3 linked regions of the Xenopus tropicalis genome follow. The protein of the gene in region 2 interacts with the protein of the main gene of each other region in a pairwise test. Links are inferred from orthologs where the notes say so. Each region holds a gene or a part of one and is shown on either strand. Other genes may lie near its edges.

Region 1 (4,287 bases), on a different chromosome or scaffold from region 2:
CCACACATGGACTGAAAATCATACAAAATGTAGTACTGGTTTGGCCAGCTTAAGTCTTAGTGAGATCTTAAGCAATAAGGAGGCAATGTAATCAAAATGGCAACTAGATCTAGTAACCCATAGCAACCAATCTGCAGGTAGTGCTTACTAAATTAGGATCTTGAATACAATAGGCCTCGAGACTGGTTACTGTTACAGGTTAGTCTTTATTTTTTTTTTTTTTTATACAAATAACCTTCACACAACATGCACCATAAAACAACTATAAAACTTTGCCAGCTCGGTTAAAAAAAAAGGTAATTCCCCTCTAAACACCCTTAACCGAACACAGATCTAAAAGGTGCCCATACACGTGAAGATTCGCTCGCTTGGCGAGGTCGCCAAGTGAGCAGATCTTCAACCAATATCCACACCTACAGGTGGCAATATCAGGGAACATGTAGGCCAATTCAATCGTTTAGCTCTGGGGCCAAACAATCTAATTATAATGGCGGCAATGGGGCAGTCAGTTCGGGGACCGCATCTTTTAACTGGCCCGATCGATATATGGCCAATTTGGGGCAGATATCGGTCGGGTATGGCCGTCACTTCTGCCCCTACAGGAGCCGATAAGCTGTCATATCGGTCCAAGGGACCAATATCAGCAGCTACAATCGGCCCATGTATGGGAACCTTTAGTGTGGGAATGGACCCAAGCGGAATTATACAGGGATTTTTTTGGCCGCTGTAATCTGCTCTACTGCAAGCAACAAAACTTCACTAGGTTTTCCCACCATTAATTCATATTACTGCCGCTGGGAAGGAAATTTGGGATATTTTGTCAGCTGGAGCAGCGCAGATTTAGCAAAGGGGAACAAAATGTTTGTGACATTGCCCTGAAGGAAAGCAGCCTGTATTTATATTCAGTTAAACAAATGGACATTAAACAAGATAGTGATTGGTTTCATTTTATCATCTTGTTGTTGGTTCTACAGTCACTCTCAGCACCTGTTTAACTATGGGTGCCTTGTAATATCCATTTTGTGAGTAAAGGTGGCCATACACAGGCAGATTTAAGCAGTCAATTCAAGCTCTTTGGACTCTTCAGAAAGAGCATTTAGTTAATTGTTAAAGACTCTGCCCATGACTTTAATTTTGCTCTTAAATATTTTAGTTCAGTTTGGCCAGGGGGGTGGAAGCCTAAATTTCATCTGGCATGTGCAATTTCTATAGTTTTAGATTCTACCATCTACAATAATATAGGGCAGGTAATGGATCACCAACTTACATCCCGTGAGAGGAAAATTGAGGAAATTGAGCAGCAGAAAATGGAAACATAAGAAATCACGACAGCTTGGATAACTGAATTGCCGTTTGTTTTGGCCAGCAGTGTTCCATTGTCCTATTCTGTGACAAGCTCTATCAAATGATGTATATGGTATGCTCCAGTGTTTAGGAGATAAGGAATCATTAACAGACAGTCCTTGGAAAAGGGCAAATGAATATGCCTGTAGGACAAGCATTTTATTACTGGTCTGTGCCTGTACTCTCCTTTATCGGGTTTAATAAATGCCTTGGCTGATTTCAACCCCCCTGGTTGCCTTACAGCAGCACCAGGAGTGGGATAAAGTTAAATGGCTATGAAGTCAGGCAATACACGCACCGATAATATACGATATTTGGTGCGTGTATGGCAACTCGGCAAGGCGACAGATATCGCAGAAGGTTGCGGATATCGGTCGACACTCCAGTCGGGAGCCATTGAAGGCGTCTGAGCAAAATCTGCCTTCAGGGCTGAATCGACAGAAGGAGGTAGAAATCCTGTTGTTTGTACCTCCATATCTGCCGTTTCAGCCCTGAATGTCAGCGGAGGGTTGGAACGATCTTTTGTGCGACCACCATGTGGCCAGCTTTAGTGCTTAATCTATGCCAGCTGCTGTGTGATGGGAGTCACATTGGGGTCCGGACAGCTGGAGAGTGGGATCTGCTGCTGGGCTGCTGTGTCTGCCTGGCTGCTCCAGCTGAGAGACAACAGGGAGGAAGGGAGGGGGAGCCACCGCTGTATTGTAATCCTGGGCTCTGTAACCGGCAGCAGTGCGAGAGTGGGCTCTGGGACAGGCTTAACCAGCACTGACTGGCCCTGCCTCCACTCATTCATAAGCCTCAGATACCTGGGATGCCGTAGGTTCTAGAACTGAGCACTCTTTGCCCTTTTGGTCCCATATAGATTGTAAGCTCTACGGGGCAGGGACCTCGTTCATCTTGTTTCTGACTCTTATTGCAACTGTACCTTGTATTTATTTGTATTTATTGTTATACTTTGTATTTATCCATTATCTTTAACCCCCTGTTTGTATTAATGTATTCTACTGTACAGTGCTGCGTACATAAGTAGCGCTTTATAAATAAAGACATACATACATACATACATACATTTCGCCCCAACCAACAAAACAGACTCTAAAGAAATTATAGAGCATCTCCCCTAATGGACCATACCAGAACGAACAGTCTTACCAGTATCAACACTAAAGATGAACTACATCTCTCATCTTATAGACTCAGGCTCTGCACAGCGTTGGAATAATAAAATGGTCACAAAAAAACGTCACTGTGCGCTTGCCTTACTAGAGCCGGATTAAAGGCACACATAGGAGATGCCGATACCTATGTCCAAAACTCGCTGTAATCAATATGAACACAAGAAATAACAATACCTTTCTCCACGTAGGGTCTGTTCTCTTTTGACAAATAAAGCGACAGCGTGAGCTGGTTTGTGGTTGCACGTTAAGAGACTGTGGGCTCATGTTAAACATCGTCTGCGTCTTCAGCAAAACGACTGAGGATATGTGCGAAGAAGCCGCGTTATATAGCTCGCTGCCTTAGCCAATCAGATCGTCGATCCCAATCTAGCGTACACGACCCTTATCCTATTGCTTCCTCATTCGCCTCTAGCCAGACGTTCCGGGGAGGACTTCTATTGCCAGCCCCCAGGTGCCTTCTACAGCCAATTAGAAGGCTAGCTGAAAAAGCATAACGAGGTATGAAACGCAGAGGCCCGTCAACCGGAAGCCTAAAGGCGGAGACACTTGGGTATGCTGTTGTGCAGTCAGAGGGTGTGTTGCGGAAGTGTTTTGTTGGAAATCACGAGACGAGAGTGAGTCATAGTGGGTGATGCAAGAGCTGGCAAGCTGGGGCCAAGCCTTCCCCCAACCCGAGGGACTTTCCAAGCTTGCTTTTCACCTTCAGGTTGTACGACCTTGTCCGCAACCTGGTTTTATCATAAGAAAGCAACATAAATAGCGAGAACTAAACCTAAAGAAGTAATACAGAGAGATATAAAACCTGCGTTGCTAGAAACAACTAGCGACTAATCCTAACGCCAAAATTGTATAAGGTGCCGGGTTTTTTATCGTTCCAATTATTTAAAGCAATTTCACTTTAGAAATGTAGCTGGCTAGTATACCAACTAAAACACACAGGGGCATATTTATTATAGTGTATAAGCCAGCATGACTTGAGGCGATAGCAACCAATGAGATATTTGCTTTTGTTTCTAACTTGTGATTATTAAAATCTAATTGCTTATTGGTTGCCATGGGCAACATTACCTGTCATGTTGGCTTACACACTGAAATAAATATGCTTCTTAATACCACCTTATAATGTATCTAATTATACAGTTCATTACTCAAAAATAATTTTATTCCAGTTTGCCATGTACATAATGAATACATCTTTATTTAAAAAAAAAAAATCCATGAAAAGTCTATATTAAAAAACCTGTACAAAATATGTATGAAAAAAATCATGAAAAACAATGGAATCCTTAGGTGTAATAGAAGTTAATGTGGTCAAATGAAGTCACTTGATAGTGTCAATGTAGATGGACAGCGGATGTTAGCTGAACAGCATCAATTTAAAATAGCAAAAATACTAAGGTGAAAATATTGAAGCAGTAACAGGTGGGATGGTGGTTTTCCTGATGGAAAAACGAGTTATTTAAGCATTGACTGTTTTAATTACTGAGGCTAGTGCTAGGCATTGGGTATAGATGTATAACTCTTTAATGTACCACCACTCTTTAAATTTGCTGCTTCTCTGCTGTATCTAAAATTGTTGTGCATTGCACCATTATCATCATTCATTTATTTAACCAAATTTGAGGTTATTAAACTGGAAAGGCGCCTCTTCTAGTGAGAAAGTGCTATTGGGCAAATGGGTGACACAAGAGTAACACTCACCCCTTTATCCCTGGTAACCAGTAAGTCACACAGTGCTTTCCTCCCTGCTTTCCATCAGCATGTG
Region 2 (3,500 bases):
AGAGCAATGAGTTTAGGATATCTGTATAATAAGCATAGTGGGTAGTATTTTTTAAAAAGAGAAGAAAGAGACACTTTCCATGTACAACATTAAAACTTTTTATTTTATTACAGTTTAAATAGAGAAGAGCAACCTTGTACTTATACAGTATACTGTAAGAATGAACAATATCGGATATATTTGATCACATCATAAACTGCACTGCATTCCAATCAATATTTGCTGAATAGTGAACATGATAATATTGGGCTTTATTGTTCACATTTACTTTTTTATTGCAATGGCACACAGGGAGATTAGTTGCCCACGGTTAAATCTCTGCTACTGCGGGCAACTAATCCCCTAAAATGCCTTTCCGCCAGCAATAAAGAGAATCGCTGGTGGGAAGACGCTTTTTTTTCTGAAGTTTCCAGTGCAGGGTGGAGATGAAGCACCACATATGCACCCCACCGGCGATTTACTTTATTGCCCATGGGGAGATTTGTTGCCCATGGTAGCCAAGATTTAACCATGGGCGACTAATCTCCCTGTGTGACATTGCAACTACTGTCAACTACTGTCTTCTCCATTGCTTTTTTCCCACATCACCCTTTCTTTAACACAGGGACCCTCAACCTTTTTTACTCATAAGCCACACTCAGATGTAAAAGTGATGACGAGCCACACAAACATAAGGAATTTGCAGGGTGTTGCCAAATAAGGGCTGTGATTGGCATGACTTGGATTGAGATTGAGAAGTGCATCTCCTTGCTCCCTGTAAGCTATTGCTTTTTGAAGAGATGCTGATTATTTTTTTTTAGCCTTCTCCGCACTATAGGCCTTAGATGCACATCAGCTTTGGTCTGTTAATATACAACAGAGATCGGGCAAACTCCAGTCACATATTAGCTTGTTAAACCTAAGATATATTTACTTACTCCATATTTACCATATTTACTCACTCTTGAGTTTGCATTTCATTTCACAGAACAGACCTGCATATTTGCTTTTACGCCTCTTATACGTTACTATTTGCTGCTCAATATAGACTATAATTAGAGTCAGGGTATTTTAGCCCCTGATACCCTGGAGTTTATCCTGGCTGTACATATTAATGTTTGCCTAATTTTACAAGACCATAAAAAGCTTATGCTTGATTGGCTGCTACTGGGGTGGGGCAAACCCTTAATCACCTTACTATATAACCTACAAGGTGACTGCATAATAATAATAATAATAATATCCATTAATGTACTTTTATGCAAGTTTTCTTTCATGTGCAGGAAATCCTTTCATCTGTTCTTCCTTAAAAATGGCTCTTGATGTGTTTCAGTATGCTCTGCCGCACCTGAGGAAAACACAAGGGAACATCATCAATATATCCAGCCTGGTTGGTATCATTGGTCAGAAACACGCTATCCCTTACGTGGCCACAAAGGTATGTCTTCTCCTGCCATCTTGTAAGAGTGGGTTCTCCTTTATGGATGCTGGAAGCTGTAGCGTGACAATTAAATTGAACCAATACTGTTCCCTTGACTGATGCTTACCTGGATTTATATATGTACAGGGTGCAGTCACAGCAATGACAAAGGCAATGGCGGTGGATGAGAGTCGGCACAATGTGAGAATTAACAGGTAACCTCTGCACAATGAGCATGCATTGATACCTTTGTTGTTCATGGAATAACCAAGTAGTAGTGTCCCTGGGTGGGTGCACACTGAGGGATATTACTGCTCCAACACATGTGCCATAGGATTCAGAGCAAGGCTTTTTGTAAGGATATACCTGAGAGAATTGCATAGTTTGTGTGCCTGGTGTGTAAGTATCAGGCTCAGCCTGGTGGGGCTAGTATCCGGGCTAGTGGCCTGGTGGGGCTAGTATCCAGCTAGTGGCCTGGTGGGGCTAGTATCCGGGCTAGTGGCCTGGTGGGGCTAGTATCCAGCTAGTGGCCTGGTGGGTCTAGTATCCAGCTAGTGGCCTGGTGGGGCTAGTATCTGGGCTAGTGGCCTGGTGGGGCTAGTATCCAGCTAGTGGCCTGGTGGGGCTAGTATCCAGCTAGTGGCCTGGTGGGGCTAGTATCCAGCTAGTGGCCTGGTGGGGCTAGTATCCAGCTAGTGGCCTGGTGGGGCTAGTATCCAGCTAGTGGCCTGGTGGGGCTAGTATCCAGGCTAGTGGCCTGGTGGGGCTAGTATCCAGCTAGTGGCCTGGTGGGGCTAGTATCCGGGCTAGTGGCCTTGTGGGGCTAGTATCCAGCTAGTGGCCTGGTGGGGCTAGTATCCAGCTAGTGGCCTGGTGGGGCTAGTATCCGGGCTAGTGGCCTGGTGGGGCTAGTATCCAGGCTAGTGGCCTGGTGGGACTAGTATCCAGGCTAGTGGCCTGGTGGGGCTAGTATCCAGCTAGTGGCCTGGTGGGGCTAGTATCCAGCTAGTGGCCTGGTGGGGCTAGTATCCAGCTAGTGGCCTGGTGGGGCTAGTATCCAGCTAGTGGCCTGGTGGGGCTAGTATCCGGGCTAGTGGCCTGGTGGGGCTAGTATCCAGCTAGTGGCCTGGTGGGGCTAGTATCCAGCTAGTGGCCTGGTGGGGCTAGTATCCAGCTAGTGGCCTGGTGGGGCTAGTATCCAGCTAGTGGCCTGGTGGGGCTAGTATCCGGGCTAGTGGCCTGGTGGGGCTAGCATCCAGCTAGTGGCCTGGTGGGGCTAGCATCCAGCTAGTGGCCTGGTGGGGCTAGTATCCAGCTAGTGGCCTGGTGGGGCTAGTATCCAGCTAGTGGCCTGGTGGGGCTAGTATCCGGGCTAGTGGCCTGGTGGGGCTAGTATCCAGGCTAGTGGCCTGGTGGGGCTAGTATCCGGCTAGTGGCCTGGTGGGGCTAGTATCCAGCTAGTGGCCTGGTGGGGCTAGTATCCAGCTAGTGGCCTGGTGGGGCTAGTATCCAGCTAGTGGCCTGGTGGGGCTAGTATCCGGGCTAGTGGCCTGGTGGGGCTAGTATCCAGCTAGTGGCCTGGTGGGGCTAGTATCCAGCTAGTGGCCTGGTGGGGCTAGTATCCAGCTAGTGGCCTGGTGGGGCTAGTATCCAGCTAGTGGCCTGGTGGGGCTAGTATCCGGGCTAGTGGCCTGGTGGGGCTAGCATCCAGCTAGTGGCCTGGTGGGGCTAGTATCTGGGCTGGTGGTCTGGTGGGGCTAGTATCCAGCTAGTGGCCTGGTGGGGAGCAGTTAACTTTGTGTAACTGAAATACCAGGGCCCATTTTGTGTCCCAGTCCGGCCAAGAATGAATAAGGAAAGCAGTGTAAGTTATTGTAGCGGGTGAGTACTCAGTCCCCCCACAGACACATTACTAGGAGGACATGGCTTAGCTGGGTGAAAATTCCTTTTCCTTTTTTATACATTTGCCCCTTTGCTTCACCAATAAGTAAATGGATAACTGATGAGAGTGCTGTTCTAAGCACTTTCGCATTTTACATTCGTAACTTTTTTTTAGATATTCCAAGATATTAAGGGAAGTTCCAGGAAGTAAGGGAACAGC
Region 3 (3,961 bases), on a different chromosome or scaffold from region 2:
AAACTGGAACAAAGAGCAGGACAGGTACAGTTTTAACTCTAGCCCTTCCACACCTAAACATACGCTTAAAATGGGTTGCATCATTTCAGTACTTAGGCTTTTACACACCCAGATCCCCACTGGCCTCGCCTGGGGTTCAGAAACTGTCTGACTTTGTGCCCAATGCATAATTCCCCACACATCAGGAACTGCAGGGGAAGCTACAGAACCCACAGGTGCATTTATGCAGTCCAGACATGCCCTAGTGGCACAATTTAACACTATAGTTCTCAAGGAAAACTCTAGCTAAACTCCAGTTTACAAACTACAGAGAAATTATGGAAACTGTCAACTCACCCTCTGACCAAGCCAACCACCTCTGGAAGCAGGCCATTCCAGGTCTCAATCAGAAGCAATGGGGTGAAGACACTACAGACACATCTTATGTCTGTCTTTTGTCGAAATTATCAGTACAAATATCTCCAACAAATGTATGTAACCTCCCTGGCACAAGACAGATCGTGGACCCAGTGGTTTGCTTACTAGGGGTGATAAATTATAAAGAAATAGATGACGTAGATGACAGTGTGCATTTGCCTTGCATCAAAAATGAAAAAATAAAATAAAATTTGGAAAAATAATGAAAAAATCCAAATAGCAGTGGATATGACTTAAACACCAGTCTGTGAGTTATAGGTAATAACCAATGAAAAACTAAAGAGTGAGATTAAAAAATCCAAGCAGCACTGAAGTACTTATTAGATAAAAATATAACCTTTATTAGGCATTAAACAAACCAGGCTTTATAAATCCTAAGGGGCACTTACTTACAGGATAAAAGTCACATCCCTTGTACAAAGTTTTTATATAACCAATCACAATACAAAGTACAACAGCCAATACAAACAATCATAGGAAGGTACCAAAGGTAAAAGACCAATCAAAATGGTCTAAATAATTAACCAATCAGGTGCTGACCCATACTCAAAGCACAAATCACTTTAGTGTGCCTGTATATCCTGCTAAGGAAAAGGAGTAGAGTGAAAAGGTTAGAGAGAAAGGAGGAGAGGGAAAAGGTACAATTATGTGAAGCAAGTTAAACACATTATAGGCCATATGATATGAGAAGCAGAAAAGAGCTGAGCAGAAAAAAAATCTTAAAAGAAGAAGTATGAAAAATAAAGTAAAAACAGCAGCAGGGTAGAATATATAACAATTAAAAGACCATTTTTTTTAATGTAGATGTTTGTGCTAAAAAATAAAACACTGCACTGTATTTATTATGTTCTAAATGACTGACTGAACCATTGAAAAGCAAGTTTATCTGAAGGAGCAGGTTTCATCATTTTCACTATTGAGACCAAGTGGGTTTTCTAGTCTGTAATTGAAAGATCCAAAGTCTCCAGTTGTAATAATCTAGGCACTACAACAAATTGTCGATTCATCCACTTCAGTCAGCAGCTTATCTACCTGTGTTTGGGGCCTCCTGACTGGCCTACCTGACCAATATCTGGCCAACAATCAGTCACATATCAAACAGGTTTTAAAATCCTGTCAAAAAGAGGACTGCATCGTCATGTATCCCCGCTGTAGTGATCCAGCTCAAAGCTGTCCTACACTAAAATATCTGCTTGTATGGCAAGGTCATCAAAAAGCAGATTTTTCCACGATATACCCACCTCAAGTTTGGCATATAGGATTGATCCAATTGTTTGGATTGAGGGCCAAACGTTCAAATCACATTAAAGGGATGCAGACCATCAGGTTGAGGGCCACATCAATGAGCCAATGCGCTCCTTGCCCGAAGGGGTATTTTAAACTACTTAATCGACATCCGCCCAATTTTCACTGCGAGCTGCACGTAAAATCACTTTCATTAAAGGTACTTGCGCGTCATTAAATGACTCCTCATATCTGTTATGGAAGCAGTCATTTTGACTTCATACATGGTCCAATTGGCTGCTCAGTTGGCTAGACCCAGTTTAATCTAAATAACTTTCACACTGGTCAACTGCCATTTTGGACTCACTCTAAATTAATCTAATCCAGGTTCATATTGTTTGACAAGCAGAGCACAGTGTTAGTAAACCCCAGAGTTTAGGCATCTCACACAAATTGGTTTGTGTGTGCCAGACCAGTATAATTCCCTACAGTGCGCAGCCACCACCTTCTTGCCTGCTCCTAGGTACCCCTTGGCACATGCGCACTACAGTTACAGATGAATACACTCTGCACATGTATCTGCCTAGCAAATGGACAGCCCCTAATGATTTTAGTTTCATTTATATGAGGAAGTGGTGCAGGTAGTACTACTGACATAGCCCATAAAATAAAATATTACAGTGCCCAGAGGCAAATGTCATTACAGGTGCACAATGCTAGTAGTGATGATAGCCACGCAGCGTCCTATTTTCTGGCTGCTTTTAAATGAAAACTTAATTATCGTTCCTATTACGCTTGCGCAGTATAAAGTCTGCGCTGCTAGTCACTCTGTCCGCAAAAAGAAGTCTAGATTACCCGCAAATCAGCCGAAGTTCTGCAGCAGTTTCCTCAGTACAGCCAAGATCCTGGGCCACATAGCTATTATCCTGTATAGGCCCGGCGTCCGCGGCTAAGGTCAAATCACAACTCTGTAACCTTTCTCGCCACAAGTCCCCGAAGGAACCTAAATGAATCAGGCGCGTGTTCGCATCAGTTACTTCATACACCGGAATGTTTTCATCCATTGTCCTGCCGTATTCAACCCCGTTTTCGGAACGTCCATTCGGACGAAATGCATCCTGGGCATTGTAGTACTTGTTTCCATTTGGCGACAGCACTGGGAGGCGTGAAATAGACTACAAGTACCAGCAGGCCTCCGAGCACTATTGAACTGTTGACTGACAACGTAAGCGTAAGAGTTTTTTTTTTTTTTGTAAAGTGGTGACATTATTTGGTTTCAAATCGTTCCGTACATCAAACCAAAAATCAAAATGTGGGTTAGGTGATTTTATAATGTTTGTGCTAAGCTTAAAGCTAAGACGCCTGTGGTTTAGCTATGGTGTATTGCGAATCACCTGTTCTATATTTTTCATCAACCATATCATGTTTAATTCTATGAAGTGGTTGTTTAGTTTTAAAGTAACTTGTAGTATGTTGTAGGAAGTTCTTTTAAGAGACAATTTGCAATTGATCTTCATTTTTATTGTTTGTGGTGTTTAAATTATTTAGCCTTATATACAGCAACTCACCAGTTTGGTTGCTAGGGTCCAATTAACCATAGCAGCTAGGCAGTGGCTTAAATGAGAAACTGGGTCTGAATAGAAAGATAATAAAAGAAAGTAATAAAAAGTAACAATAACAATGAAATTGTAGTCTCACAGAGGAATAGTTTAACTGTCAGGGTCAGAGACACCCTTTTGAAAGATGGAAAGAGTCCGAAGAGGAAAGCAAATAATTCAAAAGTTATAAAAATAAAAAATGAAGACCAATTGAAAAGCTGGAAAGAAGTGCCCATTCTGTAAAATTTTAAAAGTTAACAAAAAACAATTTCCTGGGGGTGGGAAAAGGAAAATATTATCATACTTAACCCAATTTTTGTTTCCCAAAAAGACTAAAACTCCCCTTCCTGGAAATGCCAAATTTATAAAAGGACCTTCCCTTCCCATCTGCTCCATCTCATCTGACTAAAAGACTATCCCCCCTACTAAGAGGGTTGGGAAGTCATTGTCCACTACGATGTTTGAGTCCAGTAAATGAAAATAATGATAGAATGATATAGTTTTCCTGTTCCTTCCACATTTGTAATGAACAACACAAGGATATACCAAAGCTCTGACACACAAGGGTTGGTATTATACACTATAGCAGTGTGCAGTACAGATTGACCAAAGGAAGCAATGTCGGTGTCCAATATCATGAAAAATAGCAAGTATTTTTTTGTTTGTTATTTAGAGCTCTAAATCTTGTTCCAGAATTAAAAACTGTCTGGCACTGAACATAA

The links.
Region 1: the proteins of hsd17b14 (region 2) and ddit3 interact in binary tests that used the Homo sapiens proteins (3 or more experiments, as listed by UniProt). The two-hybrid records come from large-scale screens. The link is inferred for Xenopus tropicalis from reciprocal best matches to the Homo sapiens genes HSD17B14 and DDIT3.
Region 3: the proteins of hsd17b14 (region 2) and snapc3 interact in binary tests that used the Homo sapiens proteins (3 or more experiments, as listed by UniProt). The two-hybrid records come from large-scale screens. The link is inferred for Xenopus tropicalis from reciprocal best matches to the Homo sapiens genes HSD17B14 and SNAPC3.

The regions. Positions count from the first base shown.
Region 1 is NC_030678.2:140,584,251-140,588,537, forward strand, and holds the start of ddit3 (DNA damage-inducible transcript 3 protein), read right to left. Parts: upstream 2,801-4,287; 5' UTR 2,697-2,800; intron 1-2,696. UniProt on the Homo sapiens protein: Multifunctional transcription factor in endoplasmic reticulum (ER) stress response. Plays an essential role in the response to a wide variety of cell stresses and induces cell cycle arrest and apoptosis in response to ER stress.
Region 2 is NC_030683.2:114,399,271-114,402,770, reverse strand, and holds part of hsd17b14 (17-beta-hydroxysteroid dehydrogenase 14), read left to right. Parts: intron 1-1,312; coding exon 1,313-1,417; intron 1,418-1,546; coding exon 1,547-1,614; intron 1,615-3,500. UniProt on the Homo sapiens protein: Catalyzes the NAD(+)-dependent oxidation of L-fucose, yielding L-fucono-1,5-lactone, which rapidly converts spontaneously to L-fucone-1,4-lactone. Can also act on D-arabinose and L-galactose, with lower catalytic efficiency. Does not use NADPH.
Region 3 is NC_030677.2:123,988,930-123,992,890, forward strand, and holds the start of snapc3 (snRNA-activating protein complex subunit 3), read right to left. Parts: upstream 2,801-3,961; 5' UTR 2,706-2,800; coding exon 2,497-2,705; intron 1-2,496.